Linked DNA regions of Struthio camelus. The protein of the gene in region 1 binds, or shares a complex with, the protein of each later gene. Links are inferred from orthologs where the notes say so. Each region holds a gene or a part of one and is shown in the gene's direction. Other genes may lie near its edges. The genes, in order: CD40 and CD40LG.

The links.
Region 2: the proteins of CD40 (region 1) and CD40LG are in contact, whole or in part, in a crystal structure (PDB 3QD6), measured with the Homo sapiens proteins. The link is inferred for Struthio camelus from reciprocal best matches to the Homo sapiens genes CD40 and CD40LG. Residues at the interface, in NP_001241.1 of Homo sapiens: Glu64, Ser65, Glu66, His76, Cys77, Gln79, Tyr82, Asp84, Asn86, Leu87, Trp109, Cys119; in NP_000065.1 of Homo sapiens: Ile127, Glu129, Ala130, Lys143, Gly144, Tyr145, Tyr146, Cys178, Pro217, Cys218, Gln220, Ser245, Gln246, Ser248, His249, Gly250, Thr251, Gly252.

Annotation. Positions count from the first base shown.
Region 1 is NC_090959.1:19,464,829-19,474,638, forward strand, and holds the start of CD40 (tumor necrosis factor receptor superfamily member 5), read left to right. Parts: upstream 1-5,455; 5' UTR 5,456-5,606; coding exon 5,607-5,654; intron 5,655-7,527; coding exon 7,528-7,609; intron 7,610-8,131; coding exon 8,132-8,257; intron 8,258-8,343; coding exon 8,344-8,487; intron 8,488-8,645; coding exon 8,646-8,745; intron 8,746-9,655; coding exon 9,656-9,717; intron 9,718-9,810.
Region 2 is NC_090952.1:23,042,459-23,052,418, reverse strand, and holds the start of CD40LG (CD40 ligand), read left to right. Parts: upstream 1-5,652; 5' UTR 5,653-5,739; coding exon 5,740-5,895; intron 5,896-7,528; coding exon 7,529-7,666; intron 7,667-8,565; coding exon 8,566-8,611; intron 8,612-8,778; coding exon 8,779-8,826; intron 8,827-9,085; coding exon 9,086-9,148; intron 9,149-9,960. UniProt on the Homo sapiens protein: Cytokine that acts as a ligand to CD40/TNFRSF5. Costimulates T-cell proliferation and cytokine production.

The DNA of each region.
Region 1 (9,810 bases):
ACTGCACCATTTTGGTTCAGCTTTTCTGTATTGTCAAAAGGCAGTAAGCCTATTCTATTTTGAAGATATGTTTTAATGATTCAGCGCCAAACTGAAATACAAATAAAACTTGTTTTCTACTGAAAAGTTTGAATTAAGATTTAATACATCCATTACTGACATATCTATTCCCTCAGTTCACTGGTAAGAAGTGTTGACACTTATGTAATATTTTAATAAGCAGAAAGGAAACTCATCTTGACAGCACATAATGGGACCCAAAATATTTCAGTATAGGCTTTGAATGAGATAAAAAAGCAGGTTTTAAAGGCTCTTAAGTGACCATACTTGGATCACTTCACCAAACCTGACGTCTTAGCTTTACAGTAACAGAAAACACAATTTCTCATTCACACCAATACTAAACAACATATCTTTGTGCCCATCAAGATGTCAACTCCTACTGAAGTCGGGTCCACAGCTGGGAATTTAGCCACAACCACATAAATGCAGTATTGTTAACTCATTCCACTAGTACTATGAAGTTTAATTTTGTTAACCTATATTATTGCAGACAAAGCTGGAGCAATCAGCAACACTCACTGCACACACCTACCGAAATAGTCTCAGCTAAGATACTCAGGATTCATACTTTCTGCTTTAAAAGCCACTATAGCATAAAACTTAGAAAGAGGAAAAAAACACTGAAACTTGCAAGCCAAACTTGCAAGACTGAAAGCTATTTAATAAAATAAGGTTGTCATCCTTTCCAAACATTCATCTACAGGAGTGCAGGGTTGAGACTGTCTGTTTATAGGGATGGAAGTAACCTGAAAAAAAGCTCATGAGGTTAAATCGAGCACATCAACAAAACTTTCTACTGTTAATCATGAGGTACTCTATAACCAGCACACTCCCTAACAATAAACTAAGTTGACTACTATTTAAAAGTAGCTTCTAAACAAGCATGTCAAACTTCTTAAATTATAAGACAATTTTACAGTGCTAATTAGCATGAGAAATAAATCTACTCCAGGATTTGAGACTAAGATCCATCAACTCTACATTCATATCACTTTTCTCCTTCTTTTAGGAAGCCCTGTGGAAAAGCAGGGGAGAGAACACCTCCCAGTCTAATTGTCTTCTTAAAAGTGAACGGAGTTGCTAAAACAGGGCGGTGGTTAAAACAAACAAACAGTTCTTATACCATAGTTGTGTCAACATCTTCCTGCAAGGCCAGTTTGTTCTCCCCTGTCATCTTTACTTTCCCCATCAGAAGTTTCAAATCTTGACCCCTTTTTCTTTACAGGGGCACTACAGCGTTTTCTTCTATTCTGCTGTTGCAGCTTAAGTTCTCATCAGTTGAGGGGAGAACAGCCTTCATATAATAAGTTAGAAGAGACCTCTGGAGGTCATCTAGTCCAACTCACACTCTAAGCCAGACCAACTTCTAAGTTAGATCCAGCTGCTCAGGACCTTGCCCAGCTGAGCTCAGAACATTTTCAAGAACAGAGATTCCACAGCCACTGTGAGCACCTCATCATAAAACATCACCCGTGTTTGCAATCTTGAGATACCATATCTACCCTAAGCACCCATCAGCAAAATGTGCAATACCTGTGGGCAGGACATTTTAATTCAGTGTCAAAAACAGTAAAAGACTCTTATCTTTTTCTTCTGGGGTGGCAATGAGAAGGGGTCGCTGGCAGAAGAGAGGGTAAGAACTTTCTATATGAGGAAAAATTGGAATATTTTCCAACTTGCTGGTGGCTTAGAAAATAAAGCAACAAATCCCAAACACTAATCCACAGCGAATTAGTAGAGGGCTTTCACCTAGAAGTATCTACTGCTACTCACCATTTCCCACCCAGTGGAACAAGTGGTTAAGGGTCATTTAATAATCATGAGAGCAGAAGTGAATGCCATCCCAGCTTTAGGCATGCTACACCAGGGAAGTTAATAATGTCACTACTAAGTCTCTTTCTAAGACTTTAATCAAAGAAGCTGAACACATAGCTAGATAGTTTAAAGACAATGATACTCCAGTGCACAAAGGGACCATCAGACCCGGCAGGTTACCACAGAAGAACAGCTACCGTTAGCTCACCTGCCAGTAAATTCCCCACAAGTTAATTAACATCATGTCTCTCTCTCTAAAACTGTAAATTTAAAAACAAAGTTTTATTTCACTAGTAGCGCTACAACTTCAGAACGCGAGACACAGTTGAAGCGGGACACCGAAACCGATTTGGCGCAACGGAAACATCATGCGCAAGTCTGTGAGAAGTTCCTGGGCAATGCCAAAAAAAGAGAGAGAGGAAAAAACACACCCAAAGCAAAAGAACAAAAAGAACAAAAACACAACGCAGGCACCAAACGCAGCGGAGAGCGAGTTTCACCTCCGCCCCGGGCCGCGGCTCACGGTGCAGCCCGGCCAGGCAGGGCGGCTCTCCCGGTGCGCGACCGGGGCAGGGGCGGGAGCCGGGCCGGACCGGGCCGCGGCGCCTCCGGCACGGCCGCAGCGCAGCGCAGCGCAGCGCAGCCGCCGCCCCCGCGGCGCCCCGGCCTCGCCCGGCGCGGCGCGGCCCGGCCGCCCGCGCTGCCTTCAGGCCCGGGCCCGGGCCGAGGCGAGACCCGCCGCGCCCCGCGGCGGCGGCGCCGAGAAGGACGCAGACGCTCCGCGAGGTTTGCTGTGGTACGTCTTTATTCGAGCACGCCGCGCCCCTCATAAAGCCGCGCCCGCCGCGGGGCCCCGCACCGCCGCGCACTTACCGCCGCGCCGGGCCCGCGCCGCCGCCCGCCGCCGCCCGCCGCCGCCCGCCAGGACAAAGGCGCCAACCGCCGCTGCCGCACGGCGCTGTCGCAACGAACGGGCGGAAACGCCGCCGGAAGGGCGCCGCCCCGCGCTTTACGGCGCGGCGCGCTGGCGGGCGGCCGCCCCGGCTCCCGGCGTGCCCCGCGGCCGCCGCGAGGCGTGACGGGAGTCGTAGTCCCGCGGCCGGCGGGGCCGGCAGCCGCCAGGCGGCGCCGCGGGAGCCCCGGCGGCTTCGGGCGGGGCGCTGCGCCCGCCCCGCCCCGCCCGCCCCCGGCCCGCCCCCGCCCCCGGCCCGCCCGCCCCTGGCCGGCCCCGCCCCTGGCCGGCCCCGCCCCGCCCGCCCCTGGCCGTCCCCGCCCCGCCCGCCCGGCCCCGGTCCCGGCCCCGGCCCCGCCCCGCCCCGCCCGCCCGCCCCCGCCCGCCCCCGGCCCCGGCTCCGGCCCCGCCGCCCGGAGCCCGGAGCGTCCCCTGCCCTCGGCTGCCGGCCGGCGGGGCCGCCGGGCGGGGGGTCTCCCCGCCGGGCCCTGCTGGCCGCGCCGGTGGCGCCGGGCTGCCCGCGGGAGCGAGGGCCCGGGGCTGCGGGGACTTCCCGGGCCGCTCCCTGCCGGCCGGCCCAGAAATCCCCGGCCGCCGCCGCCCTGCGCCCTCCTCGCTCCCCTGGGACCGCTCGGGCTTTCGAGCCCGTCAGTTTTGGGAAACGACGGCGGCGCGGGGAATCCGGGGCGCGCGGGAGCGGCGGGAGGCCGTGGGGCTGCCCTCGCCGCCCCGGCCCCGGCCCCGGTGTGGGGCCGTCGCCCCCGGCAGCCAGGCTCGGGCGCGGCTGTGCCGCCCGGCGAGGAGCCGGCGCCGGGCAGCGCGAGCGGTCGGACCAGGGCCGGACTGGCACGGGGCGACCGCGGGCCGGGCAGCTGTGTTGCTGCGGGGCTGCTGTGTGGGGCGTGACGGTCACAGTGTGGCCCTGGGGCAGGACGTGGCGGTGGGATGGGACACGGCCATGGGGGGGGATGTGGTGGTGGGATGGGACATGACTGCAGCGTAGCCATGGGATGGGAGCTGGCGGTGGGACGGGATGTGGCCACAGTGTACCTGTGGGATGGGACGTGGCAGTGGGACTGGATGTGGCCATGGGATGGGACATGGTGGTGTGATGGGACATGGCAGTGGGACAGGACATGGCGGTGTAATGGGTCATGGCCATGGGATGGGACATGGCGGTGTGATGGGTCATGGCCATGGGATGGGACATGGCCAGAGCATAGCTGTGGGACAGGACGCGGCAGTGGGACGGGACGTGGTGGTGTGATGGGACATGGCTGCAGCGAGGCGGTGGGACGGGACGTGGTGGTGTGATGGGACGTGGCCGCAGCATGGAGGTAGCATGGGACATGGCTGTGGGATGGGACATGGCTGCAGCACAGCTGCAGGGAGGCTCCGTGTGACTGCGTGTGGGGCACGGAGGGATTCAGAGAAAGCCCGTTTCCTGCCTGGCCACTCACCATGAACTGGAAACAGGAACTCTGGGAAATTCTCCAAAGCAAGGAAATGAGTCTGGAAGTTCCCTGGGGATTGCTCTGGGGAATCCTCGGCAGGGCAGACCCTGCGGCAGCACCCGGCCCCACAGCACTGCTGCCCCTTCCATGTTCGGGGCTGACGTATTTCTGGGGACTCCGTGCGGATGCCGGCCCTGTGGGGAGGGATGGGGGCCACCGTCCTGAATTACCCTTGGGAAACTGAAGTGAAACCTTGAACTTCTGCCTCCAGAATAAGTTAGCAGGGCCAGCACAAACACTTTCCTCCGCGTGGCCCACCGGTGAGTCCTGCCCTCAGCCGCGCACCCGGGCGAGGTGCGGGCGGCCCGGCAGGCACATGGAGCGGGCAGGGAGCTGGGCGCACAGCCGGGCCCGGGTCCTCACGCAGAGCCACCACGGGAGGAACCGGCGGGTCCGACCCCGGCTGCTCCCTGCTGCCCCGGGCAGGGGCGATGCCGGGCCAAGCTGCCGGGCTGGTGCCCTGCAGGGTCGGCGGCAGGATGACTGAGGCGGGTGCGCGTCCCGCTGCGCCGGTGCTGCCGCGTGCCGGCCGCGTGGCTCTCCGGGCTGGGGTGCGGGGCCAGCCGGGCACGGCGAGCCCTGCGGGGTCTGTGCCAGCGGGATTCCCCTGCCCGGGGACTCCCTGGCTGCTCTTCCGCTGCTCTGCGCGGCCAGCGGAGCCTGGCGCCGGGGCTCCCCGCCGCAGCGCCGCTCACTGAGCATCACCGGGCAGACCAGGGCTGAGGGCACGGGCGCTCCTGGGGCCCGGCGAGCCGGCACCCGCGGGACACCGAGGTGGGCAGGAGCACGAGAGCGGCGCTGGGCAGGAGGGCTCCCGTCATCTCGGTGCAGCGGGCTCTGCCGCCCCTGCCCGTCAGACCCGGGGGGACAGACCCGTCGCCCCCTGCTCTCCGCCCCGAGCAGGGCTCTGCCCTACGTTCCCGGGGGCCGGGGCTCGCCGCCCCGCGGGGACCGGCCGAGGCCGCGCGAGTGGCTCCCGTTGGTGGGACCCGCCGGGCAGCCCCGGCCGGAGCGGGCTGCACCTCCCGCCCGCGGTGCCGGCCCCTCGACGTCCCACGCCGGGGAAGTCCCCGAGGCGAGCGGCTGCCGCCTGAGCACGCCCGCCACTGCGAGGGGGCGTTGGCAGCAGCCTGCGCCAAACAGCGTGTGCTCCGCGAGCCGAGGATGGGCGGCCCTACGTCCCCTTCCTGGGCGGAAACGGGCCGAGGCGTTATTACGGACTGCTCCGCCGCCCCCGCAGCGGCTGCGGGACGCTCAACGCCATGAAGCTGCTCGGACTCCTCTGGCTCCTCTGCGCGGTGCTCTGGGGCGTAAGTGCTGCTTCCCGCCCAGGCTGCGCACCGGCGCCGGCGGCCCCTTCCCACGGCGGCCGGCCGCGGCCCGCGGGGACCGGGCCGGGGCTGGGCAGGGCCGGGCGGCTGCGCGGGGAGCGATGCCGGGCTGCCCCTGCCCGCCCGCTGCGGGGGGAGCGATGCCGGGCTGCCCCTGCCCGCCCGCTGCGGGGGGAGCGATGCCGGGCTGCCCCTGCCCGCCCGCTGCGGGGGGAGCGATGCCGGGCTGCCCCTGCCCGCCCGCTGCGGGGGGAGCGATGCCGGGCTGCCCCTGCCCGCCCGCTGCGGGGGGAGCGATGCCGGGCTGCCCCTGCCCGCCCGCTGCGGGGGGAGCGATGCCGGGCTGCCCCTGCCCGCCCGCTGCGGGGGGAGCGATGCCGGGCTGCCCCTGCCCGCCCGCTGCGGGGCAGAGCGCGCAGCGCGGGCGGCAGCGCGGGGGCCGGGACCGCGGCACGGCGTGACACCCCGGCCAGGGCCGGCCCGGCCCCGCAGGGCTTTCCAGGAAGGCAGCGCCGGCCGCGGCGCCCTCGGGCCGCCCGTCCCTGCCCCGTGGGCCGTCCCGCGGGAACGCTCCCCGCGCCGGGCCGGGAGGCGCTGGGGGTCGGGCAGGACCGGCCGAGGCCAGCGCCGCTGCCGCCGCGCTGGGAAAGCCGTAAAGGAAATCCTGGCCGGGAGCCCTGCGCCCGGCTCTCGCTTCGAGACACAAAAGTTTATTGTTCCTCATTTTTGTGGCTGGGAATTTCCCAGCAAGCGCTCAGCTTCTCGGCACCCTCCCACACGCGCTCGCCGCGCCGTGCCCCCGGGACCCCCACTGCCCGTGCCCGGCCGGTCCCCGTCCCGGCGCCGCTCTCTGCCCGGGGAGCGGGCGCCCCGACGCCCCGCGGACCCGGCGCCGCTCTGCCGCCAGCCCGGTGCTGCCCGGTCGGGGCGCAGCCGCGCTGGGCCGGGGCGCCGAGCGGCCGAGCCCCCGGCACAGGGCGCACGCAGCCCGGCACGCAAAACGGCGCGGGCCTGAGAGCCCCTTTCGGTTCCCTTTCCTGCTACGCAAGAGAAACGCAGGGTGTCGGGCTCCCTCGGGGCCGGTTTCCCTCCGCCGGCCGGGCGCCCGACGCCAAACCTCGCGGCGCCCCCAGCCCCTTTGCCTCCCTCCGCCCCTCGGCGGAGCAGCCCCACGGGACCCCCACGCCGGCCGCGGCGCCCCTTGCTCCCGGCCCTCCCCCAGCCTCGGACCCCGCGGCCCCGCCGGCCCCTCCGTCCCCTCCGCCCGGGCTGGCGCCCACCCGGCTGGGAACGGCCACCGGGCTGGGGCTGCCCCGTGCCGGGCCGGCTCCCCCGCGGGCCGCTCCACTCCCTCCCGCGGCCAGGCTGGCCCCAGGGCTGAGCCCCGGGGTCAGGGGCTGCTCCTGCCTCCCCCGCTGCCTTCCCCTGCCCGCGGGGAGCGAGGCAGGGCTCTGGCCGGCTTCGTGCCCACCAGGCGCCGGCCCAGGGCTTCGCTGCCCCTCGGAGCCGAGCGCCGGGAAGGGGCAGGGGACGCGCGGTTGGCGCTGCTGCCCCTGCCCGGGAGCGCAGGCTGTTGGCAGCGGCGGGGCGCAGAGCGCTGTGCAGTCACCACCCGTTAGGAAGTGTGGGGAAACATTGCACCGGAATTGCTGCCATCCCACTTCAAACGGCGCACTGGCGGCAGGCGGCGGCGCAGCCGGCTCGGCTGCGGTCTGTGGTTAGAGCGGCCCCGGGAAGGGGCTGCAGGACCGCCTCGCCTCGGGACGCGGGCGCAGCGCTGGCCGCCTGCGGGAGCCAGGCTCCCGGCGGGCACCGGGGAGCAGCGCGGACTCCCAGGCCTCTTCTTTTCCAGTGCTGGCAGCCTGTCGACACCGTAAAATGCTCTGAAAAGCAGTATGAGCACAAGGACAAGTGCTGCAACCGGTGCCAGCCAGGTACGGAGACCCTTCCCCTTCGGGTGAGCCCCCGAGCCCGGGCCGTGGCCGGGACCCGGGCGCCTGGTCCCCGCTTGAGCCCCGGGCCGGCTCCAGGGTGGCCAGAGCCGCCTCACCCCATCGCCGGCCGCAGCCCACAGCTTCGCTTGCGTTTCGCCTTCGTGCCAGAGCGGCTGGGGACCTCACGGGACCCTGATAGACCCTGGACCTGCCCCATCTCGCTCGCGCTGCCTGTGCTCCCGCGGCCCGCAGCACCCGGCGGCCCGGGCAGCCTGCAGGCAGAGCGCTCCCGCCGGCGCCGCACCCGCTGCCAGCTCCCTTCCCGGGCCGTTCCCCAGGCCTTGGCCCACGGAGAGCGCGGACGGCCCTCCCGGCCCTCCCGCTGTAGCCCCCGGCGCCGCCAGCCGCCGAGCCCACGGCCGGAGCAGCGCCCGGCCGGCCAGCCGCAGCCGCCAGCGCCCCCCCCGCGTCCTGCCGGCAGAGCTGTGGCGCTGCCCCCCCCACAACCAGCCTCGCTTGCAGGGAAAAAGCTGGTCTCCGAGTGCAACGGCACGGCGGAGTCCCTCTGCGACGCCTGCGAGAGCGGACACTACCAGCAGGGCTGGACCAAGGAGAGGCACTGCAACCCGCACGACATCTGCGAGGACAGTGAGTGTCCCTGCGCCCGCGGCTGCGCCGGGGCGGTCGCCCGCGTCCCGCTGGTGCCTCACCCCCGTCTTGCTCCTCCCGCCCAGACGCCGGCCTCGTGGTGAAGACGGAAGGGAACGCCACGCACAACACGGTGTGCCAGTGCCGGGCCGGCATGCACTGCTCCGACGCCAGCTGCCAGACCTGCGTGGAGAACCCGCCCTGCCAGCGGGGCGCTGGCTTTGTGGCAGGTGAGACGGGCCCGCTCCTCCCCTCTCCGCTGGACCGGGAGAGGGGTGTGCCGCCAGCCGGGTCCTGCTGGCAGAGCTTCGGGAGAGCTCCGGCCTCGCCGCCCTCGCCCCAGCCCGCGGCCCCGTTCTGACCTGCCGCAACCCCTGCTCCTTTGCAGCCAAGGCCGCGGCCCGGACCTCGTCCCCCTGCGAGCCCTGTGCCGAAGGCACCTTCTCCAATGTCTCGTCTAAAACGGAGCCGTGCTACCCCTGGACAAGGTACAGCCCCGCACCCCGTCCCTGCCTGTGCCCATCTCCGCGAGCACGTCCCTTGCTGCCAGTGACTTTTGGGGCCGCGAGGGCCCCATGGCTGGGATGCTTTTTGGGGGGGCAGCATCAGGCTGGCATGGGGCCGGAGAGAGGGGAGCAGCAGCCGTGGGCACGGCGAGGTCGGGGTGGCGCAGCCGAGCTGGAGGCAGACACGGGGGCGCTTGCACCGTCCCTCAGTGCCAGTGCATCATGCTGGGGGCCCAGCATGGGCCGCAGCGTGAGGGGCTGCGGAGACCCCCATCCGGCACGGCTCTCCCTCCTGGCACACTCCCTGGCTGCAAAAATTGGGCTGAGGCACCAGCCGTCTCTGCAGGGAGCGGGAGCCTGGCGTCGAGGATGCCGCGGGCTGGCAGAGCTCCCCTGTCTTTAGGAAGCTGCTCAAGGGTTAATTGCACTCCCTGACAGAAGCCTGTGCCTTGTTTCCAGGCTGAATTAGTCTCGCTTCAGCTGCCAGCCATTGGATTTCACTTTGCTTTTATCTGTGCCCAGAAATTACCTCCCTGTGGAGCCACTTGTAGCCTGTCATCAAGTTGTCTCCAAACCGTTCTGGAATAGCTAAAGTGCCCAAGGCCCAGGGCATCACGGCCAGGGCAGGGTTCAACCCCGTTCCCTCCTCTGCCTCCTCCCTGAACACGTCCCCATCTGCAGCAGCTCCTGCATCCCGGTCCGGGACCCTGGAGCGGGACGTGCTGTGCCCGGCCGGGAGCCCCAGCCACGAGCCCCCTCCGGAGCCCCGCGACTTCGTCCCAGGGCGCTTTCCCACGTGCCCCAGTGCTCCGCCAGCCCCGGCCTTTTCCCCGGGAGCTCCCCGCACGCTCAGGCTCCTGCCGTGCTCACAGGGTCTCGTTCTTGTCCGCAGCTGCGAGGAGAAAGGGCTCGTGGTGAAGGTGAAGGGGACGAACACGTCGGACGTGCTCTGTGGTGAGTGCGCGGTGCCCAGGCTGGACGGCACTGGCAGGGGATCGCCCGGGACGCCGGCTCCGGCGGCGAACGCTCCCCACGGCACCCCGCTGC
Region 2 (9,960 bases), on another chromosome or scaffold:
GAGCACCCGCCGGGCAGCCCGGCCGGGAAGCGAGCATGTCCCCACTCCGGAGGCTTTTGTTTTGTTGGCGAGTCCCACGCGGATGCAGAAGACACAGTCACGTCTGCGTTTCGGTCCGGTATCGCCGGGGCGGGATGGGGGAGGAAGAGGCGAGGTACCGGCGCTGCCGGGACCCTCCCCACCCACCGCGGCCCGCCGCGCCGTAGGAGGCGGCCGCCGGCCCCGCGGCCTCCCGCAGGTTTTGCTCTTCCCCGCTCCTCTGGCGACATGAAAGGGCAGAGCCTCGCCGGTGCCTTTCGCTTCGGCTTTGATGGCGGCGGGCCTCCGCGCGTGGCTCCCGGCCGGGCGCGCGGGGTGCTCCTGCCTCCTGCTTTCTTCCGCTCTGACTCAGGCAGCAGGGGCTTGTTTGGCAGCGCCGGGGCCGTGCCACCGGGCTCCCCGCGCCCGGCGCTATTTTTAGGAAGTCGGGAGCAGTAGGCGCAGGCGTCCGCAGCAAGAAGTTTCTAGCGCGATTTGTGGTTTCGCGGGTTCAATAAGGTTCAGCACCAGCAGGTCGCGGCGACGAGCTCGCCCGTGGCGTGGCAGGGCTGGCACTGCAGCCCAGATGTGCAGCCCAGATGTGGCACCAGAGCCGGGCCCCCCCCCGGGGGCCCTCCGTCCTCCAAGGCATCACTAGGGGCTTGTTTCTCTGCTCTTCATCCGGCTGGGCCCCCTAGGGAAAGGCTGGCTCGGGGGCATCCGTGGGTGGTGTGGCAGGGCAGGGGCGGGAGGACGGACGGAGGGAAGGAGGCCGGGTGGGTGACAGTCCTGGGAGAAGGACAACAGTGGAGCGCCTCAGAGGGACAGCAGCATCCCGGTGCCATCTCCAGCAGCTTTTTTCTATCACCCTTTGCTGCTCTGTGGGGTGGCAGGGAAGGGGGAGATGTCCCTCTCTGCTCCCTGGCCCGACCTGCCTGCGCCCCCAAAAGGTCTAGCCCAAGTAGCAGGGGCCACATCAGAGCTGGGGGACGGCGCGGAGCCACGGGACATGGTGGGCTGAGACCCCCGGGGCTGCAGCCTGGCTCTGCTGCCTGCTGGCTCTCCCCAGTGGCAGGGCTGGAGGCCAACGAGTCCGAGCCCGAGCCCTGGCTTGGGAGGGCTCGCTTCACACCTGCTGGAGACCAAGACTTTTGATAACCTCCGCGCAGGTGTTTCTATGGGTGAGGGACCATTCGTAGAGAGTGATTTGACTGCAGCTGCTGTGGTAGTAGCTACCACCACTCTCTCCTGGGCTTTTCTTCCACAAAGAGATGTGACCATCCCAAGCAATAACACTTTCTCCTATTCCCGAGGCAGTTTCTTGCTACTCTAGACTCTGAAAGCTTTCTCTAATTAACATCAAGCTAAAAAATGAATGGAAACTGCAATATAGCCTTTCTCCAGATGCTGGTGATGTTTGCTGTGGTGCTATGGCTATACCTGTTCTCGCCTTCTGTCTGTCGACAGGGTTAATCCTGGAGACGTTAGATCTCCAGGGGTGCAGGAGAGGGAAAACCTAAGGAAATCACAAAACAAAACATGGAAAAGCTCAATTTTCCCTTCTGACTGTAGCCCCGTGCTGAAGGGACTAATGTAGATCTCATAGGTTCCCTTCTGAATCCCTCCCACGGCATCATAGGCAAACGCTTTTTGTGACTCAGAATAAAATCTTCTTTCTGAATGTGTTGTTCTCAATACCTAACTTTTGTTAATTGTAAAGAATATGTGGGATAAGCAGCACATTTTAAATAGCTAGTTACAAAACCACAGAGAGCACCCAGAAAAATCACTCTCTTTTCATCAGCTTTCACCTTATTGCATTCAGAAATGCTACCGGCGTTTGACAGATCACTGGGGCAGGCAACCGGATATTTTCTTGGTAAACAAAGCTTTGAGCGCCGAGTACAGTGGAGACAATTTGCTGATCAGCGGAAATACTGCAACTAGGTCAATAGGAATGCAAGCGATGGATCACATTTTCCCATCGTCTCGGTCGGAGGTTATCTGGCTGTAGGAACCGTGCCACTTTGGGTTCACAGGCAGCTGGTACAGCTATGTTCAGAGAGCCTGAAGGGTGAAGGAAAAACCCTTCTGGTTTCTTGGTGGTGGGCTCACGCTGAGCAGACTTCACCTTCCCTGGGAAATGACAGGTGGGCAGGCTCTTTGCCCCTGTGTTGGGTCTACTCTCCATTCCCCAGGGTGTCTATGGACTATGCCTCTCTTTCCCCAAGGATGTGCCCCCTCCGCTATGCTCCCTCTGGTGTCTACAGCAGCCAAGTGGTCAAGGAGGAGCATCCACAGTGTTGCCTGGACCTGGCATAGGCTAACACGGATTTTGGCCTTATTCAAGACCTTGAGGACACAGGGTGTCTCTCCCCATCCCCACCATGCCCTATGTGAAACAGTGAGATGGGCATCAGAGCATGTCTCCTGGGCCACGTGGTACCCCCAAGGGCCAACAATGCAGCAAACCCTGCTCTGTCCTCCCAGGTCCTCCGGAGTTGGACGGTCAAGGTGACGGGATGGACCAAAGGAGCCTGCCTTCCTCTGCAGCCAGCACCTCTTTGGCGGTGTGACGCCGTCAGCTCTGCTCCTGCTGTGCCCGGCGTAGAGGAAACTGTGGGAGCGGAAGCCCAAGGGGTTGCTCCCACATCAGCTTGCCAGGTCTGCAACAGCCACGAGCGCTGAAGTGCGGAGTGACGACAGGCTGGATTGCCGATATGAAGCAATGGTTTCCCGAAGAGGAGCTGTCAGCCAGCCCTCCCGGTGAGGTGCGCTGACGAAGCTCTGCCAGGATTCCCCGTGTCATATTTTCCACCCGTTTCTGTTCGTCAGGGCGCTAGTGACTAGCGAGTCTCGGTTTCCTCGTTTCCAGAACAAGCTCACCAGCTCTCCTGCGAAGTTTTGCATCGGGTACCCATAATCGGAGACTTTCCCCAGTCACCTCATCGAATTCGCCGGCCCCTCTGAGCAGGAGCCCCAGCTCTGGCCTCCCTAGCAAGGTGCGTGCTATCCGGATAGCGATGCGCTAGGGGTTTCCGGTGTTACTTACAGGTTCCTCTCATTTCGGTGAAACGGAGATGGGTAGCTATCCAGAAGCTGCTTGAAACAAGTTTCATCTGCAGGTGACAGCCAGGGCTTAGGAATATCTGCAAAACCTCACTTGCAGTTCTCTGCACGACTCATTGCTGTGGTTTCACACATTTCAAGATTACCTTAATGCTCAGGATTCGGGGAAGGTATTAAGTAATGACTTTGCATGTCATTTTGTTTCTCATTTAAAGAGTTTCCCCAAATATGACTGCTAAATTCGGAAGAAATGCTGAAGAGCCTTGGAAAATGTCGATGATTGCCATCACGTTAAGCCATCGCGCTAGGACTTTGGAGACCAGGCGAAGAGGGTGATCCACAGAGTGGTGCCCCAGACCCTGCATATCAGCGGGTCTGTGGCCCTTGCCACGTGCACTGGCTTCAAAGGTGGCCACCATGAACTGACTTTTTTTGCTGTGAAGGTGGCAGACTCCCCATGGCAGAGGTCATGCCTTGGTGCCAGGTTTCAGCTCAGAGCTCTGTGCGGTGGCCGGGACTGGCGTTCCCAAAGATGATGCCAGCTGCAGGGTAAAAGGGAATGAAGTCACTGGCTTGGCACTGCCCTCAGGTGGCTCGCTGGCTCCATCCCTTGCATGGCTGGGCCAAGGACCAGGTCCAAAGCCCCACTGATACCAAGGGGAGCCACTTTCGCCACCCAGCACGGGGTGTCCTCAGCACCCTCTGGGATGATGTTCCTGCGCGGCTGTGAAGCTGGTCCTGCCCTGGAGAGCTGGCAGAGCCAGGCAAGCCTGGGACGGGGAGATGCATGAGCTGTGGGCTGCCGCTGGCAGGACCCCCGGCGTCCTCTAGAAAGCCAAGGCAATGCTGTGGAGCACAGCTCTGTCCTCCCCCTGGCCCCAGTGCTGTCAGCCCTGCACCAAAACTGCCCCCGGTGCTGGAGGGGTGACGGCCCTGGGGCTCTGAGCAAGGTCTCGGCCGCTGGTCGACTGCTGCTCAGCCACTGAGTTGCTGCCAGCAAAGCCCCTGGTGCTGTCGTACGCTTGTGACTTGGGTGCTATATTTAGGAACATGGTGACCTGCCAAGGTCAAATGCTGGCTTGGTTGCAGAGCTGTTTGTGCTTTGTTACTAGCGTTTGCATCTGCAGCTAACAGCGCCCTAACCACACAGGACAGGATGCGAGCGAGTGGGTAGGCAGCAACAGCAAATGCTGGACTCAATCCTGCAAGGCACTGAGCAACCCAACAAGGCGCTGAGTCCCCTCCTCTCCCTGGGCTGCCAGAAAGCAGTGCCCTGCTCAGCACCCTGCTGCTTCTAGAAGGATCCTACCCTTTATTTGCTGTATGCACATCTGATAAGAGCATTGCCTTTAGCATACTACTTTCAAAACAACTTTACACGACAATTTGATCACTGCCTTTAACACAGAGCCCCAGCCCTCCCTGCAGGCAGCCGGCCTCGTGCCGCAGCCGTGCAGCTCTTGTCCTCTGCGCCCCAGCAGATGCCTAGATTTGTTCTTTCCACTAGCCTGGAGGATGGGAGATCTGCCCCTTGTCGCAAGCAGTGAGGACCCCTCTGCAGGTATCTGAAATTATCGCACGAGTGCTGCAAGGCCGGACAAGTGCCAGGTGCCCTGAGGAGCTCTGAATCTGGGCAGACAAGGCAAGCGGCGGCAGGATGTTACCCCCCTGGTGCTGGCTGGAGAAGCAGAGGCTGAGTGTCACCATGGGACACAGGGTTGAGGTTGTCCAAGGTTGCTTTGAGGCTACCCAGGGAGGTCAGCAGCTGGCAGGAGTGCCCAGCTGCCCCAAGAGTCCTTTCCATGCCCATGAAAATAGACATAGTTATACATGTATAAGTGAGGACACTGTCTGAGCATACTTGTGCTCTTGGATGCAGGGTGAGCACCTCACTGAGGTACTGCGAAAGCTGCTGAAAACTTGTCTCTCCAAACAGAGGGCCAAGAGGCAGCCTCGAGACCCAAAGACCTGCTGTCCGTCAAGGAGCATGGAGGCTGGGCGCACGCTGGGCTCCCGGGGCCCGTAGAGATGGCCTTGCTCCAGGAGCACCCCATCTAACTGGGCAGAAACCTGCTGTGCCTTCACCCATGCAGAGCACAAGGCAAGTCCAGAAGCCAGCACAGCCCACCCGCCTTAGCCAAGCGGCTTAACTGCAAACTCATCCTCCTCAGTGAAGGAACCAGAGAGCAAAAGGACTTTCTTCCCCTCTTGAGAAACGACCAGCTTTCCACGTGCTTCCTAAGCCCTGGCAGCCCACGCTGCACCTCAGCAGCTCTGCCCGTGGATTTGCGGTCTTCGTTTCTTTAAAGACAGTCAGCTGCGAAACATTCATCCACGATAGGAAAAAATCATTGGGGCACAGTCTGGAGTGTTTCGAAGGCAAATATGAATACATGGAATAAGAATTTCTAACTGCTTCTGGTAGGACGGTAGGAAAAAGCATGGAAGTGCACAAGAGAAGAAAGTCTAAGCAACCTTTTTTTTGTTGTGGGAGACAGTCGTGAACAAACCTACCCACTACGAAGGGTTTTTTCCAGGAAGTGTAGGTTGCTGCAACCTGTATCCCTTGAGTAGCGGCTGCTCACACAACAGTTCTCATGCTACGTGCAAGCAGTGCGTTTGACGAGGGAGACCCAGCAGCCTGCCCGGAGGATGAATGAACCCTACAGCCCTGCAGCACCCAGACCCATGAGCAGCACCTCGCCCAGCACCATGAAAATGTTCATGTGCTTCCTCACAGTATTTATTGTAGCACAGATGATTGGGACTGTACTGTTCTGTTTATATCTTCACATGAAGATGGATAAGGTAAGTGTCGAAATAAAGTCGGGTCTGCTGGATTGCTAACATGATTTGCCTTCAGCGCGGAGAGACCTGAGAAACACAAAGGTGAAAATGGTACCAGGCAATGCCGGCCACTGGACTGACACAGGAGAGGCATTTATTGCACCCGCGTTCTTGTTTCTGCTTTAATTTGCTGCTAAGTAAGATGTGTGCTGATGACGAGAGATTTGTTCCCTCCCTTAACAAAACGAGACTGGATCAATAACGAAAAGCCATTAACAGCAAACCGAGCAGTTGGTCCGGCCAGAGCTGAGGCGAGGAGAGCGTGGCTTAAACACATGAGTGGTTATTTTAGGCTTTTGGGGAGCTACTTGGTGGTTTGTCTGGTCCCACAGAACTTGGCGGCTCTGTGACACCAAGGAGAAAGGGGTCCAGAAATGACTTTTTAAAACGTTTTCATGTGATAATATTGCAGACTTCACTTCAGATGTTGTCTTTATGCTCCGGGAAGAAAAGAGCAGATCTTAATACTTAGTCTTTTCTAAAGAGACACTTTATCAGCGATCCTGTCCTGCACCTGGGACAATACTTACCAAAAAATTCAATACTGAAAAGTAGCTTTAAAGGTTGCCATGACTCCCGCTGCACCATACAACGCTCATAAGCATTTTCCTAAAAGTATTTTCCTCCAAAAAAAGAGAAACCTACCACTTAAAGAAACTAAACGGGTATAAAACCCAGAATGAGTTCTCCTTACCAGCTGCAGCGCAGCGCCCTTTCGGAGGAGCGGGAGATGAAGCGGGGTCCCCGGCAGCAGGAGGGTTTCGGTGCACGCGGCCGGATGCCAAACCCGGCCCCGGGTGCCCAGCACTGCCCGGGTCGAGCTCTTGGCCAGCCCGGGACTCTCCGTCCGCACATCTGCCTGCGGTTCTTTCTGTTGCTCAGATAAATGTTAGGGTTTTTTTTTTTTTTAACCCAGATGTCATTTCACAAATCAGTTCCTTTTTTTAAAAAATTTCAATTCTTTTCTTGGCGTTCTAATTTTTTTCCTAATCTCTCTCTTTTTTTTTTTTTTTACTCTGAAACTCTGGGCAGAATTCAGCCCCAGTTCACCGGTCAGTTCAGTCTCTTAGAAACTTTTCGCTGTCAATAAACTCGCTGCCAGAAAGCAGCGCAGTTCTGGCCAGGGCGGCCCTGGCCCCGGGGTGCCCCGGTTGCGGCCGGCGGGAGCGGGGGCCCGAGCCAGCCCCCAGCCCCTTGCTGCCGTCCCCGTGCCTGGGTCCGTAAAGCCCATCAGGCAAACTTTTGCCACCTGCCTTTTGGAGAGGGTGGAGTGGAGAATTTGACTGAAGAGGTGATAGAAAAGGGGTCTGGCCAGGATCCCGAGCGATCCTGCTGCCCGCTGCCCCTCGCCGGGATGAGCCCCGGCGGCGTGGTTCCCGCGGTGCCGCCGGCCCCAGTGGTGCCTGCTCCGCGCTGGGGGCTCGGGGCTGCGCGCGCCACCCTGGTGCGTCTGACCCTGGCGCTGAAGGGCTGACACCGAGCTTTGCCGGCTGCTTTTTATTGCTGGAGGGGCTGTAGCCCGGCTCCGGCCCCCGGCTGCTGCACCCTTCCCAGTAACACCCCGTTTACCCTCTCTCCTTTCCCTCGCCGGCAGATGGAAGAAGCCTTGAGCTTAAATGAAGATTACGTCTTCCTGCGGAAAGTACAGAAATGTCAGACGGCAGAAGGTCGGAAATCGACTTTATTGGACTGTGATAAGATTTTAAGAGGCTTCCAGGATCTCCAGTGCAAGGTAGACTGCTGTTAGCCGGATAGAGACCCTGCTGGCGGTGGAGGGGGGCTCCCAGAAACACACGCACAGCTTTATTCAAAACCACGGGTGTCCTTTTTTAAACTGTTTTCCCAAAACGCTCTCGGCAAGAGCGTACATAGGCAGTGTCTGTGCGGGGGCCGGCGGAGCGTCGGAGCCGCAGCCCGGGAGCCCGGGGCAGAGCGGGCGGCGCGGGCGGCCGGCGGCAAAGCCCGGCTCTGCCCTCAATCCCGCCTGGCTCCCCGCTCGGAGCATCTGCCGGGGGGGTGCGAGGGCGCCCATACGCCCACCTTGCCCGGCCTCGGTGACGGGGCAGGACGGGGCGCTCCCAGCCCGCTCCGCGCTGCAGGCGCTGTTGGCGAAGGCTGCGCCGAGAGGGCAGGGGCGCTTCTGCCGCGCGGCCCGTGCACGCCAAGGGCATCCGCCGCTGCACCCCGGCAAAGCCAGTGGGGGTCACGTCGGCAGCGGCACCCGGCCGACAACAGCAAACTATGAGACGGGCCCATCTGAGCCGTCCCGAAACCCGGCGGGGCGCGCGGCGGGGCCAGGCACAGCTGGCCGGGGAGCACACACGGCCCCCCAGCGTGGCTCCCAGGCGTGGTGTTTCAACAGCCTGAAAAGGGGTTTTCGCTTTGTTTTCAAAAAAACTTCCCCTGTCTCAGCGTTTGAATGGCATAAAGCCGAAGAGCAGAAGCCCTTCAAGCAGGCTGCGCTGCGTGTGATGCTGCGGGAGCTGTCGGAGGGGCTCGGTGGGCTCGGGTACCCTCTGCCACCAGCAGCAGGGCTGCGGGGGCCAAAGCATCCTTTGCACAGAGGCTTTGAAACCTTTCGATCGGTATATCTTAAATTTCTTTTTTTTTTTTTCCCCCCTGCTGTTGCAGGACGGCGGAGTCAGCGAGGAGCGCCCCAAGTTCGAAATGCAGAAAGGTGAGTTTGCCAGCGGCGCTCGCGGACGGGCCGAGCGCGGGGCCGGCGGAGCCGGGTGCCGGGCAAGGCTCGCACGGGGGCCGGGGGCCGGCCGCTCCGAGCGCCGCTTTGCCCAAAGCCGATGGAAACGAACCCGAAATTCAATCCCCGGCCTTTTCCCGTTGCAGGCCATGAGCACTCCCACTCGAAGGGCAAGAACGAGACGTCGGTGGCAGGTGAGGCGCGGGGCCGGCGCGGGCTGCTCCCGCGGCGGGGCCGATGCTGCGCGCTCTCCTCCGCCCGGGAATCCCGCTCCCAGGCGGACTGGGCTGAGCGGGGCCGGATCCTGCCTCGCTCGGGGATGGGGGGGCTTCGGAGCCGGATTTGGCCCATAGAGAAACGGGCAAGCCTAGGGGAGGGCTGCGATGCCAGCACAGCTGTGCTGCCGAAGGGGGACAGCAAGGCGCGAATAACCCCGGCCTTTCCCCGTTGCAGCGGAGAAGAGGCAGCCGATCGCAGCCCACCTGGCGGGGGCCAAGAGCAGCAAGGCGGTCTCAGGTACGATGCGCCTGCCAGACCCGGCGGCCCCCCGGCAGTCCTGCCCCGCGGTCGCAGGCTGCCCCACGCGAGGTCTGCGCGCCCCGTGCCGGCCGCTTTCGGTGGCCTTCCTTAGATTTGCCTGGAAACGCACAACGGTTTAGTTTTTACGGTGAGGCACGCTTATTCTGGTTGGAGTTAAGGGAACCGAGCTCTGCTTTTCCTCTTGGATTGGAAACGAGCCGCTTTCGCTTGCGGGGCCGCATCACGCCAGCGCGGCTGCTGCGGGACGGTCTGGTGGCCTGCGGACAGCCCTAGCCTGGACCGCGGCTGATGTGGGCAAGCTGCACTTCATCACAGCTGTGGTCAGGTCAGGCTGGCGAAAAGCAGGCGGCTCGTGCCGGCAGAGCCGAGGCCGGCGCAGCGAGGCTCGCCACAGGCGCGCGCGAGGGCCGCCGCTCGGCCTCGGAAGGATTTCTCAGTCTGAGCGCCTCCGATTTAATTCTGGAGTAACTGCCAGTAATTCGCAGCTGCTCTTTCCATCTCTGACGCAGCAATTCACCCAGAGCTCGGTCTACCTGTGCAAAGCTTAAGTCTTAGATAAGATCAAAGGAGCGAGAAGCTCGCTGCATTTTCAGACTCCCTGCTTAAGCATTTGTTGAGGTTGTAAAGCAGAGCCCAAAAGGCTGCCCGGAGCGCGAGGCGCAGCAGCCGGGGACGGAGGAAACGTCGCAGTGGGATGCGCAGCCGCGGCCCCCGGCTGCGGTGGTGTCCCTGCGCGGCCCCGCACCGAAACCGTGGGAAGATTATTTTTGGACTTCCTCGGTGAAGTC